Linked DNA regions of Alligator mississippiensis. The protein of the gene in region 1 interacts with the protein of each later gene in a pairwise test. Links are inferred from orthologs where the notes say so. Each region holds a gene or a part of one and is shown in the gene's direction. Other genes may lie near its edges.

Region 1 (8,439 bases):
ACCCCCCCCCGTTTGGCGGAGGAGAGGGTGGGGCGCATGCGCAGTGGCCAGGTCCAGAAGTTTGAGTCCCCTTTTGGATGTAGGGGGGAACGCAGGTCCCGGCCGCTGCGGAGCTTTCCCCCCCCCCCCCTCGGGCAGGGTGAGGGGCGGCGGGGGGGACTTGGGGGCAGCTGGGTTAGGGACATTGCCCCCATGCACTGCCACTCCAAGCAAGGCTCCCAGCTCTGCTCCCCTAGGTGTCCCGGGACACCTGGGTTCAGTGGGTCCCCCCCAGGTGCTCCCGCACGGGGACACGGGCAGGCCCCTTGTGCTCCCGTGCTCAGCCCTGCCTGCTCCCCCCCCACAGGCTGGGCCATGGCGGGGGCCCCAGCGCCACCCCGTCCGCGGTGCCGAGTGCAGGCCGAAACCCGGCTGGTGCTGGAGGCATTTCTGCAGGGCCGGGGAGGCGCGGGGGCCCCCGGGCATGTGGGGCGCAGCTACCACGACCCCCAGCGCTACGCACACAGGTGAGGGGACACGGGGGGGGGGTCTGGGGCCGGGGCTAGGAAACCTCGGGGGTCTTTAGAGGCGGGTGATGGAGGGCAAACCCAGGAGCCGGGCAGGGGACTGTGGGGGGTGGAACTATGGTATAGGGGGCTCTGCAGGGAGTGTATTATGGGGGGCTCTACAGGGGCTGGGACCCTAGAGGCACCTTGGTGGTGGGTGAGGGGGGCTCTGAGCAGATCTGCAGGGGCAGGGGGGACCCTAGGAGCATCCACAGCAGTCTGAGGGGGGGCCCATGGGTATGCACTGAGGTTGGGGGAGTGGAGGAAGCCCTACAGGTATAGGGGTATATGGGGTAGCTGGGGGGGGGGGCACAGAGTTATGGGGGTGTATACGAGTAGCTATGGGGCACAGGGCTGTGTGGGTGTGTAGGGTAGCTGAGGGGAACAGGGCTATGGGGGGCCCTAGAAGTCTAGGGGTATATAGATGTAGTAGGGGGTGGGAACAGGGTTGTGGGGGGAACCCTAGAGGTATAGGAGTGTATAGGAATAGCTGCGGGGTTTATAGATTTATGGGGAGCCTCAGAGGTATGGGGGTGTATAAAGATAGCTGGGAGGACACAAAGGTATGGAAGGACCTTAAAGGTGTGGGGGGCCCTAGGGCTGTGGTTATGTTTGGGGTAGGTGGGGGGCATAGTCATATGGGGGGCCCTAGAGGTATAGGGGTAGCTGGGGGGCACAGGGCTATGGAGGTAGCTAGGGGTGTGGGGGTATATGGGGGCACAGAACCATTGGGGCATGGAAAGGTAGCTGGGGGGCACAGGGCTATGGGGGTGTATAGGGGTAGCGGGGAATATGGGGCAGCTGGGGGGCACAGTTACGGGGTGTATAAGTGTAGCTGGCAAGCATGGGAATAGCTGGGGGAGGCACAGCTATGGGGGAGTGTGGGGATGCCAGGCGTGTCCACAGGGATGGAGGGGAGCTGGGAGGGGTCTCTGGGAAGACTGGCCATGCCCATACCCCCCAGGCCCCTGCCAGAACAAGCCAGCACTCCCGGGGGGTCCCTGCGCCCTGGCTCCTGGACCCCCCTGCACGAGGACATCAACCGGGTGGAAGAGCGCAAGCACGGCTTCAAAACCAGCGTGAAGAAGCTGCTGCAGCGTCGGGCCAGCCCCCGTCACAGCCCCCCTGGCCCCCTGCCTGCCCGTGGAGACTCCCTCAAGAGGCAGAAGGGGGGCGAGGGGGAGGAGGGGGGGCGCCGTCGGTACCCCCGCTCCTTCTCCTTCAAGGGGTTGCTGCGGAGGAAGGGCCTGGCCCGAGAGGAGCAGGATCCCCATCCCCCCCCATCCCCCTCCTCGCTGCGCCCCACCTCCCTGCCTGTCACCCCCTGCTACTGCACGGACCTCCCTGCACTGGGACAGCAGGATCCCACGGCACAAGGTAAGGGGCCCCAGAGACACTGGCCAGGAGGAAACCCAGGTGTCCTAAGGCTCTAGGTCCTGTTCCTCTCAGAGTAGGGAGAAAACCCAGGCATCTGGGGAGTCCCTGGTGCCCTGACCAAACCCACCCAATGTGGACCCAATGTGCTACCCAGAGCTAGGAGGGAACCCAGGTGTCCTGGCTCCCATCCCCCCTCCCCCGTCTAACCTACCAGAACTCACTCAGCCCCCCAGAGCCCCTACACTACATCATTGTGCTTTCTGGGAGCTGGGGGAAGAACCCTAGACACCCTGGCTACCAGCCCCAACTTTATCTCACCAGACCCCACTCACATCCTAGAACTAGGAGAGGACCCCCATGCTCTCCGCAAGCTGGTGGGAGAGTCCAGATGTCCTCGCCCACAGCCCCCTGCTCTAAACAGCTCTGCCCCCCAGGCCAGCCACCGCAGGACCCTGCTCTCTATGCCCAGGCAGCCCAGAAGCTGGACAAACTGCTGAAGCAGCAGCAGCTGAATAGCCCTGGGAGCGCTAATGGGGCTCCCTCCCCCAGGCTGGGGGCCAGGACCCCCGGTGTCCAGCTGGGCATCAGGCACTCAGGTAAGCTGCTACCTGGGGCAGGGGCTCCCTGCCCTCTGGCGGAAGCCAAGTGCTCACAGGCCTGTCTTTGCCTCCAGCTCCGACAGACCACTCCTCGGAGACTGCCAGCGAGCAGCACAGGGAGCAGGTGATCCAGAGACTCATCAGCCTCCTGGAAGAGCAGGCTGAGGACATCAATCGGGAGGTACTGGCCTAAGCCCCTGCACTTGTCAGCCAGTGCCCCTCACTCCTGACCTGCAGCCCCCTGTGCCTTCCCTGGTGCTCCTCCTGCCCCACAGACTGCCCCCACCCCATGCCACTCAAGCCCAACCTCCACAAACCCAGCACAGGGCCCCTCCCCAGCCCTGTCAGTTTTCCCACACCTGAAGCCCCCTACTTCCCCCAAGTCCTAAGAGCCACTGTTATGCCCTCCCTGCAATCCTTTTCCCTAGCCCTGACAATTCCCCTCACTCCTGACCCACAGCCCCCTTTGCCCTCCCCCAGTGCCCCTTACTCTGGACCTGCAACCCCTGCTCCCCCCCTGCCCAGCCAGTGCCCCTCATTCCCAGCCTATAGGACCGTGCCTCCTCCAGGCCCTCGCTCCCGAACCGTATCCCCCTGCCCCCCCCCCAGCCCTGCTGATGCTATGACATTTCCCCTCACCCGCAGATGGAGACAGACCCCGTGCTGCGCAGCACCTTGTCCCGCATGTCCTTCCACGGCTTCTCCCAGCTGGCCGAGGCCTTCGCCGCCCGTGCGCCCCCCAGCAGCCCCAGCCCCCAGCTCACGCGCCTGGCACTCACTATGGAGCTGACCCGGAGAGTGGCTGGGATCAGCAACCATGCGGTGCAGACCCTCATGGGCTACAGCCTCCAGTACATGGAGCTCTTCGTGCCCTGGCTCCAACAGCAGGGCGGCTGGGTAGGGGGGCCAGGCCGGCCTGGGGAGGGGGCTTTGTGATGGGGTGGGATTTACATGGGGGACTGGTAGGGGATGGGAATTATGTGGGGAGGAGGGATCGCCGTGCCAGGGAAGGGGCAGCTGGGTTGGGCTGGGGAGACCAGGGGCCATAGGTTAAAGGGACACTTGGTCAGAGGGGATTGGGTGTGGTGGCCACATGGGGGGAGGCGGGGGGAAACTGTATGAACTAGGGGGCCAGGCTACAGTGGACATGGAAGGAATCTAGGGGCTGTCTGTGGGCCATGCTTGGGGTGGGAGCTGTTGGTCTATCTGGGCTGGGCCTCCCCCCTACAAGCCTCCTCCCCACCCCACAGGAGAGCATCGTGGGACAGGATGAGCTCTTCGACCTCCAGCTCGACTAGGGGGAGGAGGCAGGATGCAAGTTGGGTTGGGGGGAGGGGAGCTGGCCATCCACCCCCCAGAAGCCACCGTGATGGGGTGGCCCCCTATCTATGGGGAGGCCCCCTGGCATTCTCAGGGTACATCCAGCTGGAGGGGACCCCAAAACAGATACCTTCCCTGGGGCCATGGAGGGCCCATTGTGACCTCTTATTAAACATTTAAAAAATATTTTTAACAAAGTTCTTGATTGCTCCGGACCCTTCTTGTCCCACCTGCATCCCTCCATGGGGAAGCAGCAGGGCAGCTGCAGCCACTTCTGGGGAGGGAGTATTGTATTGGACCTCCCCCCCCGGCCTGGGGCTGCGATGCACCTGTGGGAGGGATGGCAAGGGGTCCCCCAGGGTGGGGGGGCAGAGGGGTAGCGGAGGAAGAGCGTGAAAGCATGGTATTCGCTACCTACAGAGGGGAGTGGGGGCTGGGGCTGTACCTGACAGGCATACTCTTGAACATTTCAGCGTGGGGGGGCGACCCCAGGCACGGAGAGCGCCTAGCCGATTGGTTGCATTCTCCCCAGCGGCTTACCAATGAGTTTGTTACTAGGGCCTCGGTTAGGGTTGAGGGGGCGGGGCCAGTTTTTGACTGGCAAGGCGACTGGCCAATGGCTGCGGTGGCGGGAGTGGGGGCTAGAGTGACGTATCAGGTCACCAATGGGATCGCAGGTTCAATGGGGGGGGTAGGTCCCCGTTAACGACTAGCTCCCAGCCTCTGCCAATGTAATGTTTCACTACGTTTGAGCGACATTACCGCCGCCCACTACAACAGCCACTTGACTGAGGGGGGTGGGACGCGAGCGACTGCTGTTTGCCTCTACCAATGAGAAGTTCCACTCACCGTGAGCGACATCGCTGCTGTCCAATAGAGCCACAGCCTGTGTGAGGGGCGTTGTGAGTGACATTCATCTCGTCCAATAGCCTTCGACCTACACGAAGGGGCCGCGACGGCGAAGCTGAGTGACATCTCCCTCCCTCAACGCCGCTAAAGGGGGCAGGGGCAAAGCCTCACGGTCTCCTCCAATAGCAGTGCCCCTTTGCCTGTGAGGGTGGGGCCCGCACGTTGAGCGACATCTCCGCGACCCAATGGTGGGGACCGCGGCGCGGAGCGGCCAATTGGGGTGGCGGAGGGCGGGCCCGGGCCCTCCCCCGCTATAAGGCCCAAGGGGTGGGGGGAGGGGTACTTGCTCTCCCCGGGCTTCGCACGCAAGATGGCGGAGGCCGCCAACTGCATCATGGAGGTGCGGGCGGGGGGCGCGGGCGCGCGCGGGGCTCCCGGGGGCCGTAGTTGGGGGGGGGTCCAGCCGTGCTGGCCCTCCCCCGCGTGGGGGTGGGGCCGCGGGGGTCCCACGTGGCCCGGGAACAAAGGAGGGGGCGGGGCCCCACGCCCCTCCCCCACCCGGGACCCCCGCGTGGGGCTGGGGGCCGGTGGGGGGCACGGCCCTTTCCCCTTCTTCCCGGTGCCCCGGGCCCACGTGGGGCTGAGCCGCGCGGGCACGTGGCCGGGCCAGGCGGGGGGGTCCATGGGTTTCTCTAGGGCACGTGGCGGGGGACGGCGGATCGCTATTGGGGGTAGGATCAGGGACTCCTTGTGGGGCCAGGCCGGGCGGGCAGGAGCAGGAGGACGTGGCCCGCGGGTGGGATCAGTGTGTTCCTGGGGGGGACAGCATCCAAGGTTCCATCTGGGGGACGTGGCCGGGGGCGGGGGCAGGATCAGGAGGTCGCTAGACGGTTTGGAATAGGAGCAGGAGGTCCCCTTAGGAGACTTCACTGACCCACCCCCCCCCACCTCCCCCGATTGGTTGGTATTGCTGGGAGCTTAGGGGCAAGTTCCCTGGGTCCCTCTAGGAGACGAGGCCTGCCGGGAAGAATCTGTGGGTCGTTACTGGGGGGTCAGGTCAGCCCATCTGTAGGGGACGTGGCAAGAGTAGATTTAGTTGGGTTTTTATTTTGGGGGGGGTTGGGGAGGGCTAGGATCAGCAGGTGTCTGTTATGGGAGGGTGGGGGGCACAAGCCAAGGGGTAGGATCAGTGTGTCCTGGGTCGGGGCGTGCGTGTGCGTGTGTGCGCGTGTGGGAGGCGAGGACAGGAACTGCTCCCTCCCCCTGAGCCTGTCTTCCCATCTTCCACCATCCAGCCCATACCACCTCCCCACCCCCCCTCCAGCTGCCAGGCAGGGGTCCCCTGGCCCTGCCCCCACCAGCCCTGGGCGCTCGGCGCTGACTTTCTCCCTTGCTTTCTCCTAGACGTTTGTCACCACGCTGGCTAACGGGATGAGCCTGCGGACTGCGCTAGAAGATGTAAATATCCTTTCAGTGCGTGGGCCCAGCCAGCCCCCCACCCCCAAATCCCAACTACCACCTTCCCCAGGGGAGGGGATCCCTGCACTCCCCTTGTCCCCATAGTCATACCCTGTCACTACTCCTACAGACCCTTTCTTGTGTCCCACAAATTGTCAAGGTCCCGTGTCATGTCCCGTCCCTCCCCCCCCCCCCCCAACGCGCGACAGACAGACAGTGGCCCTGTCCTCTAGACTTACGGGAGTCAGGAGCCTGGGTGCGTCCCAGCCTCGTGTCCCTTGTGTTCAGGGTCCCATTGCTCAACCCCATCCCCTTTTCCCCCTTCCCTCTCCCCTATGTAGGATGGGAGTGAGGAGCTGGTCAGTGCTGGGGTGGGGGTCTTGCAGGGACAGGCGGTGTTTGTGTGCATGTGTGTGCATGTGGCAAGGAGCCTGGAGCCCAAGCAGGAGCTGCAGGGGGTGAGGCAGGGGTGGCATAGACCCCAGTAGCCTGTATCAGGGGTGGGGGGGACCTCATGGTGTAACAGAAACCCTCACAACATGTAGAGGGAGTTGGGGGGGTGGGGCTTGGTGCAGAGTCCTGCACTGTGGCTAAAGAGGGTCTGTGTAGACTAGTGGGCATAGGAGTGACCCTGCTGGTTGTGGGGGAGACAGCGGAGCGGCCAAGATCAGGCCCCATATAGAGGTTGTGGAGAATTAAGGGAGTTGGGGCTGGGGGGAGGGAAATCCTTGCTCCTTCTAGGGCAGGGGTGGGCAAAATGCGGCCCGCCAGGCCAGTTTATCTGGCCCATGGGGCCCTAAAAATTTAGAAAATCAATATTGATCTTCTCCTGGCTGCCTGTCATGCGGCCCTTGATGGCTTGCCAAAACTCACTAAGCAGCCCTCTGCCCAAAATAATCGCTCGTCCCTGTTCTAGGGGCTGTATTCATTTCTCATTCATAAATTTCCTTAATGTTGCCCTCCTCACCTGCCCCCGCCCCTGGTTCAGCACCCCTGCTGGGGTGGGGGTTCCCCCAGGGGTATTCGGTGCACCCAGGAGTTGGGGTGGGGGGCTAGCAGCACTGAGTCGGGGGTGGGGGTGGAATTTAGGTGGGCCCTGCCCTAGGTCCTTACTGCTACAGCTCCTTCCCTCCCCAGTCTCTGGGGCCAGGGACATTAGGCTGTAGCCAGTGGGGACCCCAGGGTGGGGGGGACAGTGGAGCTCCCCCAAAGCAGTGCCCCAGGGGGCCGGCTGGTGGGACCTGGTGGCAGCAAGGACAAGTTCAGGGCCAAGTCTGTGAGGTGGTGGGGGGTAACTGCCCCTTCCCGCTCCTTTCTAGGGAGACACACAAGGTGCAGAGATCCCCAGAGTGGGCTCTGCTGTGGGTCTGATGGGCACAGCAGGGGAAGGGGACCCAGCCCCACTCTGGTGCGTTGGGGGGGGTATGTGGGACTAGTTGTGCTTGCAGGGCTGACTGGGGGGGTGGAATGTATACTACAGGTTGGCAGGACCTGTGGCTCTGTGGGGTATATGGGGCTGGCTGGGCCTTGTGGGTCTGTTGGGGGGCATGACTAGTATGTACAGGTTGGGTTGGCCCATGGGAGTAAGGTGTGGGCAAGGCAGTGGCTGGGCACGTGCCAGCCATGGGGCCTCAGCCCTGGTTGTGACCACAAGCACGCAGCCTTGGTGCATACGTCTGATCGCTCCTACCCCTCCTGCAGGTTTCGTGCACCCAGCCTGAGGGCAGTGGGAAGCCCCCGGCTGAGGAGATGACATCCAAGGACTACTACTTCGACTCCTATGCCCACTTTGGCATCCACGAGGTCTGGGCGGGGCCCTGGGGTGGAGGTTGGAGGGGGAGGGGTGCCCACTCCAGGTGATGCTGGAGGACTGATAGGGGTGGGGGCTAGAGTGGCTTTCCAGTACTGCCTCCCTGGAGGAGGGGGCGTTGGGCAGTCTCAGGGCTCTCCCTGCTGATCCCCCTTGCCCCCAGGAGATGCTGAAGGATGAGGTTCGCACCCTGACCTACAGGAACTCCATGTTCCACAACCGGCACCTCTTCAAGGACAAAGTAGTCTTGGATGTGGGCAGTGGCACTGGCATTCTCTGCATGTTTGCTGCCAAAGCAGGGGCTAAGCGTGTCATTGGGGTGAGTGTGATCCCTCCAAGGGAGTGCAAGGGGGGGGAAGAAAGCCAGGCCTCAGCTGACCCCCACCTCCCCGCCTTCCCCTCTCTGCAGATCGAGTGCTCCAGCATCTCTGACTATGCCGTCAAGATTGTCAAAGCCAACAAGCTGGACCATGGTGAGTGC
Region 2 (7,831 bases), on another chromosome or scaffold:
CCACCCCACACCAGCTCCAGATTCACTTGCACTGAGCAGCGGTGGTGGCCAGGCAGAAACTGTTGCTTAGCATGGGGGAAAAACTGCTTAGCCCTTCTTGCTGCAGCAGCTTGGAGACCGCACTGTGCTATCCTGCATCTCCGCTGCTGTCACAGCTGCCTCCAGGCTGCCCAGTGGGGCAGTGCTGGCAGTGCAGACCAGCCACAGTGCAGCCTTGGCATGAGCTCTAGGTGGCTGTAGCAGAGAGCGCCGGGCAGTGGCAAGGGGGAGGGGCTTTTCCCCCCATACTGAGCAACAGTTCCTGCCCTACTGCCACCACTGTGGCTGCTGCTCAGCCTGGGTGGGTGAGTCTGGAGCAGGCACAGGGCAGGCCAGGTTGAGGCTGTGCATGTGGGTCCCCACCAATACCATGAGGCTGGGGCCGGTAGCAGCAGCTAGAAGGAGCCACCACCACCTGCCTAGAAAGGCAATCCAGCCATGGAGCCATCCCAGCCCCACTGCATGCCCAGGGGGTGGCAGGATGTGCCACAGCCGGACAGTGCCTAGGCCAGGCAGGACTGAGGGAACCACCGCAGGCTGGACAAAGACCCTCTAGTCCGTGGGCCCTATTTTGCCCACCCCTGATGTAGAGTGTGTAAAAGTGCAAGTTGCACCAATCAGGAATCAGTGCTGTGAATCCAGGATAATGAGCAAGAGCTGCAGACTTCCAAAGGAAGGGGCCATGTTTCTGGAGGTATATGTTAACCTCATCTCAGCCTTTTTAGAGCAGAAAGGGAGAGCTGCTTTTACAGTTGAAAAGTAGATGGCTTAATATCTGGAAGCTTGCAGCCTCCGAGTAATGTCAGGCAGAAGGCACAGCAGGGAGGTACCATAGAGACTAACTGGTTAAAAAAGGTGTTGTAGGCAACAGTCTGTGAACAGTTAGTTTGTGGTTGAAAAGGGGATGGGGTGGGCAGTCATCATGGGTGTATGCATAACTATTAAGCGTGATTATCCTGCTGCAGACAACTGTGACTGGGCAATGAGCAGGACATAAGAATCCCCTTGCTTCAAAAGCTTCTTAACTGTGGAGGTCAATAAACAGAACAGGTATCCCAGTTCCTTCCTGCCTCTATCCCGAGTTTACAAACTGAAAGGGTTATTTTCCATGCTCATGCAGGCACCGATGGGTTACCCAGAACATTTCACAGACATTAATTCTGGCTGGCCAGGAAAGGTACATAATGCTCACATTTAGAAGAATGCAGAACTTTTTCAAAAGATACGGGCAAAGACATTCTTCCCCAGCAGGTACCTTCGTACTGCTAACGTTGAAATGACAATGGTGTTTCTGGGGTACCCAGCCCACATTTTGCAGCCTTGGCTCATGAAGCCATCCACTAGATACTTGGTGACAAAGAGAAATTAAATTGCCAACAGAAAGCAGGTGCAGGATGGCCATTAAAAATGCTTTTGTTGAAAGCCTGATGGACCTTAGTGGATCCAGTACCCCTGAACTTGCTGCTGCTTGCAGTTGGTCAAACACTGTTTGCAAAGTGCCAGCAGAGTGGCACATGGAAATTGTCAGACTGCTGAATTTGAGCAGCCAGAGAGTGGGGCAGCTAGCTACTGGTGCTTGCCCAGATGCTGTGTGGCTGAGGGAGACCCTAAGGCAACACCTCAGTGTTGTGTCTTGAAGGGCACTACCCCTGCATGCTTTGTAATGAAGGGAACATGAAGGTTTTGTGCATGTGCACAATAAAATGAGGTGCCCTTAACATGTCTGAATGCAGTGAAGCTAAGCACTAATGCATGAAGCTGGTAACAGTACACTTAATATTAAACATATCCAGTAGATGACTGCCCAAACACCTCTCTCATGTAGTTTGAAAGGTTTTGCACCGCTAGAGAAAGTTCAGCATGCCCCTTATCTATCTGTATATATCGATATCTGTATATATAGATATCTATATCATACATACGGACACATATCTATCTCTGAGTGTATATATATATCTATAGATATATCACACACATATCTATCTATATATAACCAATATATAGTCTATGTGTAGCCAACATATAGTCTAACCAAAGTGTGTGTAGATAGATATATATCATAGAACTATAGAATCATAGAAAATTAAGGTTATAGAATCATAGGAAATTAGGGTTGGAAGGGACTTCAGGGAGTCATCTAGCCCAACTATCTGCTCAAAGCAGGACTATCCCCAACTAGATCATCCCAGCCAAGGCTTCGTCTAGCCAGGCTGTAAAGCCCCGCAAGGACGGAGATTCCTCCACCTCTCTGGGTAACCTGTTCCAGTGCTTTACCACCCTCCTAGTGAGAATTTTTTTTCCTAATATCCAACCTAAACCTTTCTTGCTGCAACTTGAGCCCATTGCTCTTGGTTCAGTCATCTGTCACCACTGAGAACAACCCAGCTCCATCCTCTTTGAAACCCTGCTACAGGTAGTTGAAGGCTGCTATTAAATCCCCTCTCAGTCTTCTTTTCTGCAGACTAAATAAGCCCAGTTCCCTCCACCTCTCCTTATAAGTCATGTGCACCAGCCCCTGAACCATTTTTGTTGCCCTTCAGTGCACTCTCCAATTTGTCCACATCCTTTGTGTAGTGGGTGGGGAGGGGCAAAACTGGACATAATACTCTAGATGTGGCCTCACTAGCACAGAGTAGAGGGGAATAATTACTTCCCTTGATCTGCTGGGAATACTCCTACTAATGCAGCTCAGTATGCTGTTAGCCTTCTTGGCAACAAGCAACAAGGGCTCATTGCTGACTTATAATCATCTTATTGTCCACTGTAAGCCCCAGGTCCTTTTCTGCATGCACACACAGTTATGTATCTATCATATACGTACACATTTTTAATATATACACACACTTACAGGTTTCCTTGACTTTATGCTGTACATGCATTCCTGGAAAACAGTGCATAACTCAAATTCACATAAAGGGAACCCACTTCACAATGCAACAAGTAGGGATATGTTCCAAGACCTCGACTGTACTGACTCCCAAATCCATTCCTACCACTTTAAGACAATTTTGGTACTTTCCAACACCAGACGGGTGGCTGCCACTGCGTGCGGCACTTTGTGCCCAGCTGCAGCTGCTCCAGGATCAGTGCTGCTGGCTGCACTGTGCCCCCTGCCCGCCCAGCGGTGGGATGCATGTGATGTTGCGCCGCTCCCGGGGCAGCTGCAGAAGCACGGGCACCAGCTGCCCTGGGCAGCAGGCTTCCATCACACTGATAAGAGTGAATTTACCTCGCCTATAATGAATTTTTAGTATGAAAAGAATCATTGCATAAGAGCAAATTCGCACATACAGAACCTGCATAAAGTAAGGGAAACCTGTATGACATCCTGGCTGGGCCAGCATGGCTACAGCACCACTGACCCAGCTGCAGCAGCTGCCTTGAGGCAAGTACCAGGTGGGGTAGATATGCACCATACAGACTATATACACACACTACATATAGAGTGTGTGTATTGGTTATATATGGCTCGTCTACACGCACGACTTAATGCACACTAGCCTATTTTAATGTACGTTAAGGCATCACAAAAAACACGCTCTTTAGCCTAGTGCACATTAAAATAGGCTCAGGCCCATTTTCCCAGTACCTCACAATGGAGGTACGAGATTTACTACACGTAATCTAAAGTGCATTAACTGAACATGTAGATGCACCCCTAGAGACTAACCGAAGGGTGCATAATGACATCTATCTATCAAGAGCACACACCAAGTGCAGATGCTTCCTCAGCCTGATGAAGGGTATTTAAACCCGACAGCTTGCTAAGAAGAATTTTTCCAACTATTTGAGTTGGTCTAATAAAAGAGATCAGATTTACCCAAAGACCTTTGTCTGCCTGTGTCCTTTGACCAGCATGGCTACAACCTACACCCCTATATCTATCTATCTATCTATCTATCTATCTATCTATCTATCTATCTATCTATCTATCTATCTATCTATCTATCTATCTATCTATCTATCAGGTTTTTGAACCCGAAAGCTTGCTTAATAATTATTCTCCAACCATTTGGGTTGGTCTAATAAAAGATATCAAATTCACCCAAGGAACCTTGTCTGCCTATCTCCTTAGACCAACACGGCTACAACCTACACCCTTGTATCTATCTATCATGCACGTATCTACCAGATATACGTGTGTATCGACACACCCTTAGGTCCGTGTCTGTACAGTGTATACTTGGGCTGTACGTGCGCACACACGCGTGGCCTCCTCGGTGCAGCTGGACCGGGTTTCTCGGGCGCGGCCCCCTGGCGATAGGGGGCGCTCGCGGGACGAAGCCACCTCCCTCCCTTTGTTCGGCGGCGCTGCCCCTTTAAACCCCAGCGCTCGGGCCTCGCCGGCTCGCGCGTGCCGCCATTGGCCGGGCCCAAGCGCCGAGGGGGCCGAGCGCCCCGCTCCCGCGCCGCTCCCATTGGCTGGCGGCGCCGTCCGTCGGGCGCGAGGCTCGCTGACGGTGGGCGGGCGGCGGCGACGCCGCGGTCCCTGGAAGCAGTTCCGGGAAACCCCGCGTGCCGCCGGGGTCGCGCCGCCGTCCATGAGGAGAAGGAGGAGCGCGCGCCATTTGCCGTCGCTGCTTGGGCCCGAGCTGCGCCGCGCAGGCCCCGCTCCCGCTCCGGTGAGTCCCGCGGCGCCGCCGGCGGGGGGGGGCCGAGGCGAGGCGGGCAGGCCCCGCGCAGCAGCGGCGGCGGGGAGGGGCGCGGCCTGGCGCTGGCGGAGGAGGCGGGCCCCGCGCAGCCGCGCCGGGCCTGGAGGCGGCGGGGCCCGGGCCGCCCAGGCCTGGCGGGGTGGGGCAGCGCCCGGCCACGTGGAGCACCGGGCCCGGGGCGCGCGCGTGTGTGCGTGTGGGTGCGCGGGGGGGGCGGGAAGCTTGGCCTCGGTGGCCCCGGCCCCGCGCTCGCAGGCGGCGGAGGAGGACGTGCTTGCTTGTGTGCCCGCCCGCCTCGCTGCGAGCCGCCGGGCCCTGCTCGGGGGGGCTTCGCGCTTTTGCGGGGCCTCCCCAGCCTCCTCCCAGGAAAGTCTGGCAGCCGCGATGTTTTGCGCGGCAGGAAATACCCGGCCGCGAGGATCGGCCTCTCCCGCCGGCCGCGCCGAGCGATTCCCGGTGCCTTAGCGCCCGCGCAAGCGCTGGGGGGAGCCGCTTTCCGCTGCTCAGCTCAGCTCAGCCCGCCTGGGATGCGACTGGCTTTTTTGCTTTGCTTCCCCATCATTTTTTTTTATTATTATTTTTGCAGATCTATCTGCAAAACTTGTTGATTTTAAAAGCGGGAATTTAATATCCATGTCCCTCTGTTACATGTGGAGCTTGATGATCTGTCTTGCAAAGCAGTTTTTGTTCTTTTTCTTTTTTGCGGGGAAGCTCACGTGTTAAATAAATGTATCTTGGCACCCGTGCTGTGTGGAGTAGGTAGAAGAGGCATTGAGACATTCAAATGAATGAATGTTAAGACCCCTCTGCAGGGTCGCTTTGAATTATCCCTCAGACATTGCCCCACACATGCTTACAAGCCACCCCAGTGCTTAATTTGAGTGAACTGGCAGCATATCGAGTTCATCTACCACTGGTCAGGTTAATATAATACCATCACTTTGTGCAGTGATCTAATTGCGCTGACCACCTACAGCGCTAGTATAGCTGCTAACTGACTGCCGTGAAATCGTGGTAGGAGTGTCTAAGGCCATGACAGGCAGCGTTGGGTACCTTCATTAGTGTCTTCTATGTAGTTTTCAGCCTGAGAGCTGTGCCCATCTTTCTGTATGCCAAGAATGGGAATTGAGATCCCCCAAACTTTCTAGTACATGTTGTGATTTAAGTCTAAGAATTACTGTGTTGGAGGGGTGAGGGTGTAAAATACTCATTAACAGTAGCACATGCTGTAGTAGAAATCAAATTGAGAAAGATTGAGATTAGTAGAGGCAGTATCTTCCCAATAAAAACTTGACCAACCTTGTGCTGTGTTCATAACTATGAACCAGTGAATATTTTGTAGCGTGTTTTTTAAGTAAGTTCTAAATAAGACCAAGTTACGGTTGTTTTTACTACACCACAGTTTACTTGTATGAGAGAAACAGTTGTAATATACCTTCTTTCAAAACTTGAATGAATCTCATTAGTGACTGGAAGGTCCTTCAGTAATCATGTCAGAGTTCAGCTTCCCATTATAACCCCTTGTCTCCCCTCATTCATAACTTCCTTATTTTTTCCTTTTTGGTTTGAGACGTACTGTGGCTTTAGACTAAAAGTAGTTCTTTTGCGTGGTATCAGATTGTCTTGCTGTGCTCCAGGGATGCTGGGAAGGGGAGCTACAAGCTTAAAACAACTACTTTTGATGCATTAATAATGTAAATGGTTGGCATTCAGTATTTTAACTGTCCTACTTTTAGACCTCCAAGTTATCTGCAAAGAATATTAAAACCAGAATCGGGCTCAGAGTCCAAATTCTGTAGAACTTTTTAGTTATATCTGTTGCATGTTCAAGTTGACTATGTCCACTTCTGCTCCATGGTGGTCAAACTATAGCTAAATAGCAGTCCAGAGAAGTCTATTTTCAGCTGCCATACTTTCTTTTGATTTGTCATGTTAATAGAAAGCATCTATGGGGGAAAACATGGAGGCTTGACCATTTTGATTTTTTTTTTATTGTTTCTTTAAAATAAAAGCATTTTCCAGGTAATTCAAAACCAGATTAAATTTGACCTCCTAGTTTGTGTGAGTAGAACCTCATGAGAGCTAGTTATTACAGTAACACATTGTGAGACAGGGTATGGGCAGGATACCCAATTAAAAATACAAAGTAGTTGGAAGTATACTTTAATAGTATAAAGTTCCTGTTGTCTTCAGTTGTGTAGCTGGGAGTTGCAATATGGAGTTTTTAGTAACACATCTGACTGCACTTCCACATGGTCTTATTAGTATTCCAGGAACAATCCCCACACACAATATATATACTGATAATCAGTAACTGCTTTCAGGAGGTACATCTTCATGTGCACCTTCTGAATTCATCTCTTTCTGGACACTACATATATATGTATATCTTTCACCTGAGACTTTTGCACACATCTGGGGCAAAACAATTCACTAACCCTCTGAAATTAGGCATAGTTCTGTGCCTGCACATGAAGGTTACACTATCCAAATTTACTTGAATGCAGTGCTTTTTATTTATGACAGGTCAGAAGTTGAGCCATATCAGATACCACATACAACATCTATATACACTTACCTGATTTTGTGGTCATCTTTTTAGTGTTGCATACTTTTAAATATTAAATCTTTGAAGTTCATTTCAAGTATGGAAAGGGAAAGCAAAGGTATTCCTTAATCAGACTCTTTTTTTTTTGTGCATTCAGTTGTGTGTTGTTTTTGGTGGCAAAGTATCTTACTAGATTTTATCCCTAGTTGTCCCACGTAGCGCACACTGCTAAGGAAGGAAGACTAGGTATTTTCTTTCTCTCTTTCTCCTCCTCCCCCACTCCCCCATCACTGTAATTCTTGTATTTCAGTTATACATATGCAACCCAGTTAGAGAAAATGAGGTTTACAAAAAATAGTAGATCGGAGGAAATGTATTCTATTTGCAGATAGAAATATTTTCTTGAAATAACTGAGCCATGAATATTCTCCACATCCATAGTATTTTGTCACATTTCAGAATAAAATTATATTTAAGAGTTTTTGGTTAAACATGTGACAGAATATACATATTTCAAGTGGAATTCTCAATTTTACCTTGGACTTGTGCATGTAGTAGTCTAATCTTTTGTCATCTTGCACTAATGCTCTCA

The links. The genes of interacting proteins can lie anywhere in the genome.
Region 2: the proteins of PRMT1 (region 1) and HNRNPR interact in binary tests that used the Homo sapiens proteins (3 or more experiments, as listed by UniProt). The link is inferred for Alligator mississippiensis from reciprocal best matches to the Homo sapiens genes PRMT1 and HNRNPR.

Annotation. Positions count from the first base shown.
Region 1 is NC_081828.1:40,021,943-40,030,381, reverse strand, and holds the start of PRMT1 (protein arginine N-methyltransferase 1), read left to right. Parts: upstream 1-5,007; 5' UTR 5,008-5,060; coding exon 5,061-5,090; intron 5,091-6,094; coding exon 6,095-6,148; intron 6,149-7,849; coding exon 7,850-7,951; intron 7,952-8,121; coding exon 8,122-8,277; intron 8,278-8,367; coding exon 8,368-8,431; intron 8,432-8,439. Other genes in the region: BCL2L12 (bcl-2-like protein 12), read left to right, coding at 193-506, 1,510-1,922, 2,357-2,518, 2,596-2,702, 3,167-3,372, 3,772-4,021. UniProt on the Homo sapiens protein: Arginine methyltransferase that methylates (mono and asymmetric dimethylation) the guanidino nitrogens of arginyl residues present in proteins such as ESR1, histone H2, H3 and H4, FMR1, ILF3, HNRNPA1, HNRNPD, NFATC2IP, SUPT5H, TAF15, EWS, HABP4, SERBP1, RBM15, FOXO1, CHTOP, MAP3K5/ASK1, MICU1 and NPRL2.
Region 2 is NC_081829.1:9,933,523-9,941,353, reverse strand, and holds the start of HNRNPR (heterogeneous nuclear ribonucleoprotein R), read left to right. Parts: upstream 1-4,524; 5' UTR 4,525-4,580; coding exon 4,581-4,661; intron 4,662-7,831. UniProt on the Homo sapiens protein: Component of ribonucleosomes, which are complexes of at least 20 other different heterogeneous nuclear ribonucleoproteins (hnRNP). hnRNP play an important role in processing of precursor mRNA in the nucleus.